Linked DNA regions of Drosophila melanogaster. Changing the gene in region 2 together with the main gene of any one other region gives a genetic interaction. Each region holds a gene or a part of one and is shown on either strand. Other genes may lie near its edges.

Evidence for each region.
Region 1: of Sry-delta (region 2) and bcd, changing one suppresses a phenotype caused by changing the other (phenotypic suppression), as found in Drosophila melanogaster (one study listed by BioGRID).

The regions. Positions count from the first base shown.
Region 1 is NT_033777.3:6,755,150-6,761,517, forward strand, and holds bcd (bicoid), read right to left. Parts: upstream 4,318-6,368; 5' UTR 4,123-4,317; coding exon 3,958-4,122; intron 3,421-3,957; exon of another isoform or gene 3,399-3,420; coding exon 3,323-3,398; intron 3,283-3,322; coding exon 2,324-3,282; intron 1,812-2,323; coding exon 1,527-1,811; 3' UTR 693-1,526; downstream 1-692. UniProt on the Drosophila melanogaster protein: Segment polarity transcription factor that provides positional cues for the development of head and thoracic segments.
Region 2 is NT_033777.3:30,041,452-30,045,460, forward strand, and holds Sry-delta (serendipity delta), read left to right. Parts: upstream 1-1,889; 5' UTR 1,890-2,027; coding exon 2,028-3,329; 3' UTR 3,330-3,435; downstream 3,436-4,009. Other genes in the region: Sry-alpha (serendipity alpha), read left to right, coding at 1-1,403; RpL32 (ribosomal protein L32), read right to left, coding at 3,862-4,009. UniProt on the Drosophila melanogaster protein: Transcriptional activator that controls bicoid gene expression during oogenesis. Found in transcriptionally active cells. Binds to specific sites on polytene chromosomes of third instar larvae. Binds to the consensus DNA sequence 5'-YTAGAGATGGRAA-3'.

The DNA.
Region 1 (6,368 bases), about 23 Mb from region 2:
TATTTACAATAAAAACCTGAACCAAATTAAAAAGCTTTACAATATCAATAAAAAACTAATTTATGAATACTTTGCGATATCTCGCGATATTTGAAAGATGCATAGATGCTATAAATTATCTTCATAAATGGCGGATTAAAAAGTAGTTTATTAATTATAGTAGTTAAACTAGGTGTGATGAAGGGCACAGGAAAACAAGTCTTGTGATAAGTAAGAATGGATTCAGAGCTTGGTTTTCCCAGGACATCCATAATCCACCTACTAAAACGCGCCCAAGATCAATAAAAACTCTATAACTGGGAGAAACCCAATCAATATTCGTTCATATAGGCCCCGTTATTGGACTTCTGGATTTCCCAAAACTTATATCAAAGAAAATAGGGGCAACAAGTTGCCTGGCGGCGCCCCGCGAGTGCTGCCTGTACAGTGTCTACCTAAATAGTGCGACCGCGCGAGGATCAGGCGATAAGAGTATGGGTTTCAGGTAGGTGAATAAACACAGGCAGCTGGTGCAAATGTTTTATGATCCGCGGGTGTTCGCGGAAAAATCGCGAATCATATTTTATGGCAGGCATGTGTGAGTATGTGCAATAAAGTGCATTTTTAAATTCATAAGATTTTCGGGAAAACCAGATACTGTTTTCGTTCATTCTAGAAAGGGACGGAAATATGGGCTAAGTATGTAGTTATGTGTAGTTAGTCACAATTTACCCGAGTAGAGTAGTTCTTATATATTTTCGTAATTAAAAATACAAAGCTTAAAGAGACAACATCAAAGGTGCAGCATTTTAAAATTAAACTTGAGGCCTAACAGATTGCAATGCTCTTCTTAGTGATGTAAATAGAATGTGAGCTATGATAGTTATTCCGTTTGGCAGCAAAAAATCTCCGAATCTGAAACAAATGGTCTGCATTGATTGAAAATACAATTTGCTGACTATTCTTGGTCAAAGAATGCGCAAATGTTTGATTATGTCAGACACTTTGGCATAGCATAGAAATTGAAAATATCATATCAAATATTATTGTTTAAATGTTCGATCTTTAAGGGTAATCATTGTATGAGATTACGCCCAAGAGAAACATTTTTCATTTTGATTAGTACAGTTTTTAGCTATGTCAAATTGTAACAGAGAAGATTTTCTTGCTGGCTCGGAATATAATTTCCGAAATGTGGGACGATAACTTTCCATGGAATACGCTTAAGCCCAAATGGCCTCAAATGTAACTGGTTGCATATTCCCGGGCTTTAGTGGAGCAGCCACCCAGATACATCTAAGGCGAATAGCGTATTGCAGGGAAAGTATAGAGTTAACTGGAGTATCACTAAGATATGCACTGGAATCCGTGCGGCCTGCTGACTAGGCTAGTACATAAAACTTCCCTGGGAACCATTTACACGGATCTTAGGACTAGACCTAACTTTCTACGCGTAGATATCTACAATCACTTGGTATTTGTACAATCAGGAACAACAGTGGTTAACCTAAAGCTAATGAAACTCTCTAACACGCCTCTCATCCAGGCTAATTGAAGCAGTAGGCAAACTGCGAGTTGCCCGCGGCGTTCCGATGGGGATTATACGCTTGCATTATCGTATCCATCGTGCATTGATATTGGTTCGATTCGCCCATGGCCACGCCCCCCATTCCGAGGGGCGGCTGAGGGCCTTGTGGGGGCGAAGGCTTGCCAAATTTGGCAAATGCCGCTCCACGATTTCCGGTTCCTGCTAAGGCTCTTATTCCGGTGCTCATGTCGTCGCTACTGCCATCGTCGCAGCTCTTGTCCAGACCCTTCAAAGGCTCCAAGATCTAGGGAGAGAGCGAACGCATTTAGAACATAAATAAATTCGATTGAAATTGCTAAATTATTGTTACAATTTATAGCTAAAAATGTTCATCAGCATATGAGTCTGTTTTCACTTTTAAAATGCATAGATCTTATTTTTCTGGTCAAAGAAATGCTATTTTAACTTGCAGTGTATTAAGAGTGATTACATGAATAAAAAAGTAAAAAACCCTGAAAACTAAGGGCTTTCAAACGGTTGAAATCTTAACCTTTGATACAAATTCTATATTAAAATACATCTTTAACACTTGTACTTCCCTTTCAGAAATGCCATGTCTAATTTAGAAAACAAAAACTTAATAAGTTAAATGTTAAATATTGGAGAACTCCCAAATCTCATCGATCGGAAATAGAAGTACTTTCAGAATAACATCTCAAACCAGACAGTTTGAAAGTTACAAAGCTTAAAGCTTCAATTTATAAACGCCACACTCAGAATCAAGAGATCAAAAAAGGTTGTGGACTCATGCCTGACCTGTAGCGTCGTCTTCTTGCTCGTTCCGTCGTCCATGTCGTCGGCCGCCTCCGTCTCGCCAACGGCGATGGCGCAAGGTCCGCCGATGCCGATGCCACACAGACTCGGACTTTCGTCATTCTTGGGTGTTAATGGCTCGTAGACCTCGGAGCCCGGCGAGGCAGCGCCTCGGGCCACAGCGGATGCCGATGCAGTGGCGCCAGACATTCCCGATCGCATGTAGTACGAGCTGTTGAAGTTGTAGTCGGCCTCCGGTTCGTCCTTGACCAGGACGCGACAGGCGCTGGCTTGCTTTTGCTGGAAGTCAAAGTGATGGTATTGCTGCTGCTGAGCCTGCTGTTGCTGCTGCTGCATCTGGTGCGGCACGTGGTTGCCCTGGTGGTGCAGTTGCTGCTGGTGATTATGGACCTGCTGCTGCTGGAAGAACTGGCCGCCATTGACATTGGTCGACCCAGGTCCTGGCCCCCCTCCGGAAGGATACTGCATGTGCATGTGACGATTGGCCTGGGCGTGATTGTGGCCTCCATTGTAGTTGTAGTAGGCGTTGAATGACTCGCTGTAGTGCTCCGTCATGTGTGCAGTGGGCGTTGAGGGCGTGGGTGACGGAGTCAAAGCGTTGGGCGTGGCTCCTCCACCCAAGCTAAGAGTCTGCAAGCTGGGGGGATCGCCATCGCTCTGTTTCATACCCGGCGAGAGAGGCATCCCCTCGTAGGACTGGTCCTTGTGCTGATCCGATTGGATCTTGTGACGACGCCGACGGTTCTTAAACCATATCTTCACCTGGGCTGTGCCCAGGGCTAGTTTCGCTGACAGATCCGCAAGTCGGGGGGCTGTGAGGTATCGTCCCTGCAGAAAGTGCTGCTCCAGCTCTGCTATTTGAGAGCTGGTAAAAGTGGTGCGGGTGCGACGTGGTCGCCGCATCACCAGAGAGTCGGGCAGCTCCTCTGAGGGAAAGACATCTGATAAGACGATGGCTGACTTTGTTGGCTTTGAGCTCACCTGGCTTGGGCATCTGGTTGGGCAGATACGGACGTATGTAGTTGTAGTTTATCGCTCCCGTTCGCTCATCGAAAAGCTTCAAAGAATCAAGGGGTACACTGTCTTTATATAAAAACGTGAAAGGACGATTCGCTTCGGGGACCGAATCTTGCAATATTACTTTCACTAATCATCATGCAGGACAACAATGCTTGTTTTAGAAAATATGTTGTATGAAGTGTATAAAGTCAATAATGTATACCCAGTGGCCATAGATGTGGCTTTTGAAAAATAGACATTACTGATTGTCGGTGTGAGTGCAACAGGTTTAACATTCGTCCATTTCAATGAAACACCTTTTAGAACATTTCGGCAAATCACTAATAACATGATGCCCCACAATTCATATACAATTATATACTATACTAACTGTAACGATTAATAATATCAATTGGTTTTTAGATTCTGCTACGATACTTTAAAAGTCACAAACAAGATAATAGAAGATTTCGCCCTATGTTCTAGAAACACATTTGCTGCGGCTCAATAAATGTTTATGGTCATCAGTGATCGCACTGGTTGTTTGTTCACCATAGGGAATCTGTACTGTAGCTTTCCTGGGACAAGAGCCCTTCTCTGCTGCGATGGGAACTCACCAAATCGAAGGGATTTCGGAATTGTGGCGGCAACTGAAGCTGCGGATGTTGGTGATGTGGGTGCGGATGCGAGTGCGGATGCGGATGGGAGTGCGGATGCGGATGTGTGTGCGTGTGGGGCAGCGGATGATGGTAAAAGTTTTGATCTGGCGGCGGTTGCGCCATTTTCCCCAAACACTCCGCCGCGTTATCTTTACGAATTTCCAAGCGCCGCGCGGAAAAATGGCAAAGGAGTGTGGAAACTTTCTTGTATTTTCAGTAACCGGTTACTTTCGAGACGCTCGCGAACTTATTTCGCCCACATTTTGCGTTTTTGCGATCCACTGCTTCGCATCTGCAGAGTGCCGTTATTTAGGGATGAGCGAAGAGATGTAGAGATGGCACAATTGGCGGCCCTCCCTCGATGTTCATTCTTTTGAGTAATTTAAAAATCAATAAGCGTCTACAATACATTTTAGACAAATATTTGGACATTTTATTTTTAAATGTTTGCCTCTAATTTAAAAGTTTTTAATCGAACAGTACGGCAAAGCTGCAAACCGATTGAGTGCACAGCGTTTTCACCAGGGGGCGTGAAGAGACAGCAGTAGAGAGCCCCCTGTCGGGCTGTATTGAAAGGTTGTGCTCACTGACAAAAGGTGAATGTTCTAAAACGTCGGAGGTTTATTTATTTGTAGAGATTTGCATTTGAGAATAATAATAAAAAAAAGCTTGAATATTGTAACAAATAAGTAGAACCAATTAAACTTAAACTCTTTGCTCTGTTTGGAACTTCATAATATTAACATTTAATTAACAAACAGGCACCCCAAATTTAGGAATCAATTAGACAAGTGTCGAATGTTTAATTTGAATTTTTGTTAATATTATAATATTAATATGCTCCAGTCCAGTCCAGCCTGAATTGAACAAAATGTGCACTTTGTAGTTTATTCTGTTACATACTTCCGCTATTAATAACTACATTATTCAATCTTAGTATCGCGAGATATATAAGGACTTGGGACAAAGAATAAGGATGGTGGAGATCGAGTTTGTTTTTCCAAATGATCTCAAACGGCTACGTACGAAAGAAAATATCATATAATCGTTTTGTAAGACAGCATATAGTGCTTGCTATATGTACCTGTTAGGCAGTGCATTATAAAATGTATTAGAAGAATAAAAGGTAACCAGTTGTCGAGTTAATTAGCTGTAGCGTTCGATTCTTTTGTTAATTTTTTTTAAGTTGTTCTACTCATTTCTGATGTTAAGCTAGGATTGGCAATTATTATTTTCAGGCTCCATATTTGGAAAATTCGATATGTTTAGCGTTGAAGAATATTGTGTAAATATCTACAAGCATTAAGTTGCTCAGTGCATTGGCCCAAGCTTTAACATTTTAAAACACACCCAACGAGCCAGTTGACCTTTAAGCAAGTGTCGCAAGGCCTTAAGTGAAATATTTTTTAATGACATTTGCCAAATAATTGTCGTGTTTGCTTTTGGGATCTGGCAGGAGCTTGTTGCTGTTGGCCGGGCTTTGCTGCTTCTGCCGCTGCCAACTGGCAACAAAAGTCAATTCACAGACACTCCAGTCGACGGAGTCGGAGTGCAGCCAAAAGGCAAACAAAATACGTTCGCATAGGCAAAGCCCAAGGATACACACAAAGGTACAGTGGTTGCTCTGACTACAAATACAAATTAAACAGGGCCAGAGCTTTAATACCAATTCGATACCATTGCAACAACAGCATTTCAAATGCTACTTTTTTATATCAGATAAAGATAGGTAGAAAAGGCTATATTTACGTTAAAGGCAAGCTGATATTTTAGAAATTTATTCAAAAACAAAATTAATTACTTTGACACATAATATTGTATTTAGTCATCTGACTAGAAACTAGAAATCTCTGAATGTAACGAAGTTCTGTGCATTCTTACAAATATTACAAAAAGTATCTGCTAGATACCACTGTGCGGAACTGGGCCACAAATTCAGACGCAGTGTGTGACAAAGGACTTCTCCCTTCCCCGCTCGGCGACCCTGAATGCTGAATGCCCCCGTGTGTGCCGCTGCTGAAGCGAAACACCCAAAGAGTCACTGACAGAAACAGGATTCGGGTAATAAATTACAAAATTTGACATTTTCTGTTTTGGATCCGCTTGCGCCTGAATGCGAGCGGCAGCCCTCTCTGTCGCACGCCGTCTAGCCGTCTCTTTCGTTCGGTTTCGGTGTGTGTCCAGTTCGGTCGGGCCAAGTCGAGCGTTGCATGAAGCAGCCGGACCTGCCAGGACCTGGACCAGGACCTGAACCTGCATCCAAGAGGCATCGCCGCAATGGTCATAATGACGCTGCCGGGATGCAGCTGAGGACAAGGAGAGCCGTCAGTGGGCAGCGAGAAAGGGACGGAATAGAAGCGCCCTATGCG
Region 2 (4,009 bases):
GCCTCACCCAGGTGGTAACCTGCATCACCCACCTAGAGCGGACCATCAGCATGGAGGCACCGCATATGACCAGGCAGCACTTCCTCGACCGCTTGGACTGGTGCTTGCGGCGACTGCTCGTCTCCTTGACGCAACTGGAAGGCAACGTGACCCCAGTCAAGAACCTAGAGGATCACTCCTTCGTTGAGCTCATGGACCTGGCTCTGGACCACTTGGATGACTACATGGAGAAGCTGGCCCAGCAGAGAAACAACTCGCTGCACATTCTAGAAGAGAGCTTCACGGAAGACACCTACCAGCTGGCCAGCATAGTTAATCACATCGTTCGCCACGCCCTGGCCTTTGCCAATGTGGCCATTCATTCGGACAAGAAGGCTTTGACGGCTTTGTGCGAGACCTTGCTCGCCGAATGTGCCACTTTCCACGAGGAGGCGGGCGAGCCCAACAGTGGTCATCGGAAGCTGGAGGCCCTCTCCCTGGAACGTGCCCTCTATGCCCTGGAATCCTTTCTCAATGAGGCGCTGCTGCACTTGCTGTTCGTCAGTCTGATAGATCTGGAAAACGCTTCGGTGGAGAAGCTAAAGGATGCACTGCAAAGGGATCCTGCGGGAGCTCAGGAGCTAATCTCCGCATTCGACACGAACATGGATCGCATTCAGCAGATTGGGGTTCTGGCCATAGCCTTCTCGCAGGACATCAAAACGAAGACGATTGTCAGGAGCTGCCTGGCCTCACTGGAATCCCTGGATGCGTGCATTGTGCCCGCTCTCCAGCTGCCAGAGTCCACTTCATCCGCACACCACGCGGAGGTCTTGCAGGAGCATTTTAACCAGGAGCTGCTGATCTTTAGGAACGTCATCCACGAAATCATCGATAGCTGCTCCCTGATCAACAACTACCTGGACATGCTGGGCGAGAGGATCCACGTACAGGACAAAAGCCATCTGAAGCTGATTGTCCAGAGGGGCGGAGTGGTGGTGGATCACTTTCGGCTGCCCGTCAATTACTCGGGACTCAGTGAAGATGGCAAGCGGGTGCACAAGGACCTCATTCTGATCCTGCGCGAGTGCCAGGCCGTGGTCAACCTGGACGTCCCAGTGGATCCCAAGCGCATCGTGAAGCGCCTTAAGATACTGTACTCCGTGCTGGCCAAGCTGAGGGACTTGATATGCAGGGATAATCTGGAGCCCGATTCCTCAGTTGCTTCCGAAGCTCAAGTGCCCTCAAGTGCAACCCGAACTTTTGTGCGGAGCAGTCGATCCTTTGGCAAACGGCATCGATCCTTTGTAAAACAAACCGGAAATTGCTCAGTTTTCGGGCCACAGGACTCACTTGCTGAATCCGGACACAGCGAAAGCGATCTTATTAGTTTCCAAATCACTGAGATTCTTAGGTTAGATTGAGTGGGGCGAGCCATATTCTAAATACGCGGGCTTATCTGTATGAGATTTTTTTTAATACTTCATTGGCTTGAAGTGCTTAATTAAGATTAAACATATCCTTACAAAGATTCTAATTAGCTACCTAAGTCAATTGTGTTCTTTACACTTATGTAATTACTTCATTAAGTTGAAGCCATTCGCATAATTTATATAAAATACAATTAAAACATACCATTATAAAAAAATTATATAATTCAATTCAATTTTTTCAGGGAATCAATAAATTAAATGCTACTCGTTTTCATAACTAAAGAAACCAACACCACCATAATAATCAACAACAAATTATGTATTTATGCAAATTGAATATCCGTTTGCAATATTGAGCAAACACATATTTTTATTATTCAACTCATATATTTCAGTTTTCACACCCTGTTCCATTCCCACCGTTCCGTTCCTGGCATCAATCGGCATCGTTCGCCAGCCCTGGTGGGCATTATGCCATGGTTGCATTTCACGCATTTTAGTATAGCTTCCGATATTCATCATTTTGCCAACTCTATTAAATTTCATACACAATTTAAAAGATTGTAAACAAACGCCGCACGAAACGGAATCGCTAAAAGGACCATCGTCGGCGCAATGGATACTTGCTTCTTCTGCGGCGCCGTCGATCTGAGCGACACGGGCTCCTCCAGCTCCATGCGCTACGAGACGCTGTCGGCCAAGGTGCCGTCGTCGCAGAAAACAGTGTCCCTGGTGCTCACCCACCTGGCCAACTGCATCCAGACGCAGCTGGACCTGAAGCCCGGCGCCCGGCTGTGCCCGCGCTGCTTTCAGGAGCTCTCCGACTACGACACGATCATGGTGAACCTGATGACCACCCAGAAGAGGCTGACGACCCAGCTAAAGGGCGCTCTAAAGTCCGAGTTCGAGGTGCCGGAGTCCGGCGAGGACATACTCGTGGAGGAGGTGGAGATACCCCAAAGCGATGTCGAGACAGACGCCGATGCCGAGGCGGACGCCCTGTTCGTGGAGCTGGTCAAGGATCAGGAGGAGTCCGACACGGAGATAAAGAGAGAGTTCGTGGACGAGGAGGAGGAGGAGGACGACGACGACGACGACGAGTTCATCTGCGAGGACGTGGATGTGGGCGACTCCGAGGCCCTGTATGGCAAGTCCTCCGATGGCGAGGACAGGCCGACGAAGAAGCGCGTCAAGCAGGAGTGCACTACCTGCGGCAAGGTGTACAACTCCTGGTATCAACTGCAGAAGCACATCAGCGAGGAGCACTCCAAGCAGCCCAACCACATCTGCCCCATCTGCGGGGTGATCCGGCGCGACGAGGAGTACTTGGAGCTGCACATGAATCTGCACGAGGGCAAGACGGAAAAGCAATGCCGCTACTGCCCCAAGAGCTTCTCGCGCCCGGTGAACACCCTGCGCCACATGCGCATGCACTGGGACAAGAAGAAGTACCAGTGCGAGAAGTGCGGCCTGAGGTTCTCCCAGGACAACCTACTCTACAACCACCGGCTGCGCCACGAGGCTGAGGAGAACCCCATCATATGCAGCATCTGCAATGTGTCGTTCAAGTCGCGCAAGACCTTCAACCATCACACGCTCATTCACAAGGAGAACCGCCCAAGACACTACTGCTCCGTCTGCCCCAAGTCCTTCACCGAGCGCTACACCCTCAAGATGCACATGAAGACCCACGAGGGCGACGTCGTTTACGGGGTTCGCGAGGAGGCGCCCGCCGACGAGCAGCAGGTGGTGGAGGAGCTGCATGTGGACGTCGACGAATCGGAGGCGGCCGTCACCGTCATCATGTCCGACAACGATGAGAACAGCGGCTTCTGTCTCATTTGCAATACCAACTTCGAGAACAAGAAGGAGCTCGAACACCACTTGCAATTTGATCACGACGTGGTCTTGAAATAAGCTACATTGCCTACAATAAGTAATTGTTTATCTTTCCCTAGTGTATTTCCTCCTCTTTGTACTTGATTATTGTAGATTCCTACAAAATATAATTTACTGGTATTTCAATTACTGCGTTTCATTTAGACAGAAGCATTTCCGATAATAATTGTACACTGTTCTGTAAAAATAATTGCGAATATATATATGATTTCATATAAACAACCTCTTTCAATACTAAGGGGGAAAAATGTAAAATATATAACAAAATTCCCTGATAAGGATTGATGCTGTCTAGTTTTGGCACGTCAAGGAATTTATATTGGTCTAATATCTCGAGGCAGTTGCTATCAGAAAGAAAGACCGCAATGGTCTGGATTAACTGATATCCATCCAGATAATGCACATGTTATCAATGGTGCTGCTATCCCAATCTCAGAAATGACAATTGAACTCGGCACTCGCACATCATTTTTTAACTAAAAGTCCGGTATATTAACGTTTACAAATGTGTATTCCGACCACGTTACAAGAACTCTCAAGAATCTTAAGCTTACTCGTTCTCTTGAGAACGCAGGCGACCGTTGGGGTTGGTGAGGCGGACCGACAGCTGCTTGGCGCGCTCGACAATCTCCTTGCGCTTCTTGGAGGAGACGCCGTGGGCGATCTCGCCGCAGTAAACGCGGTTCTGCATGAGCAGG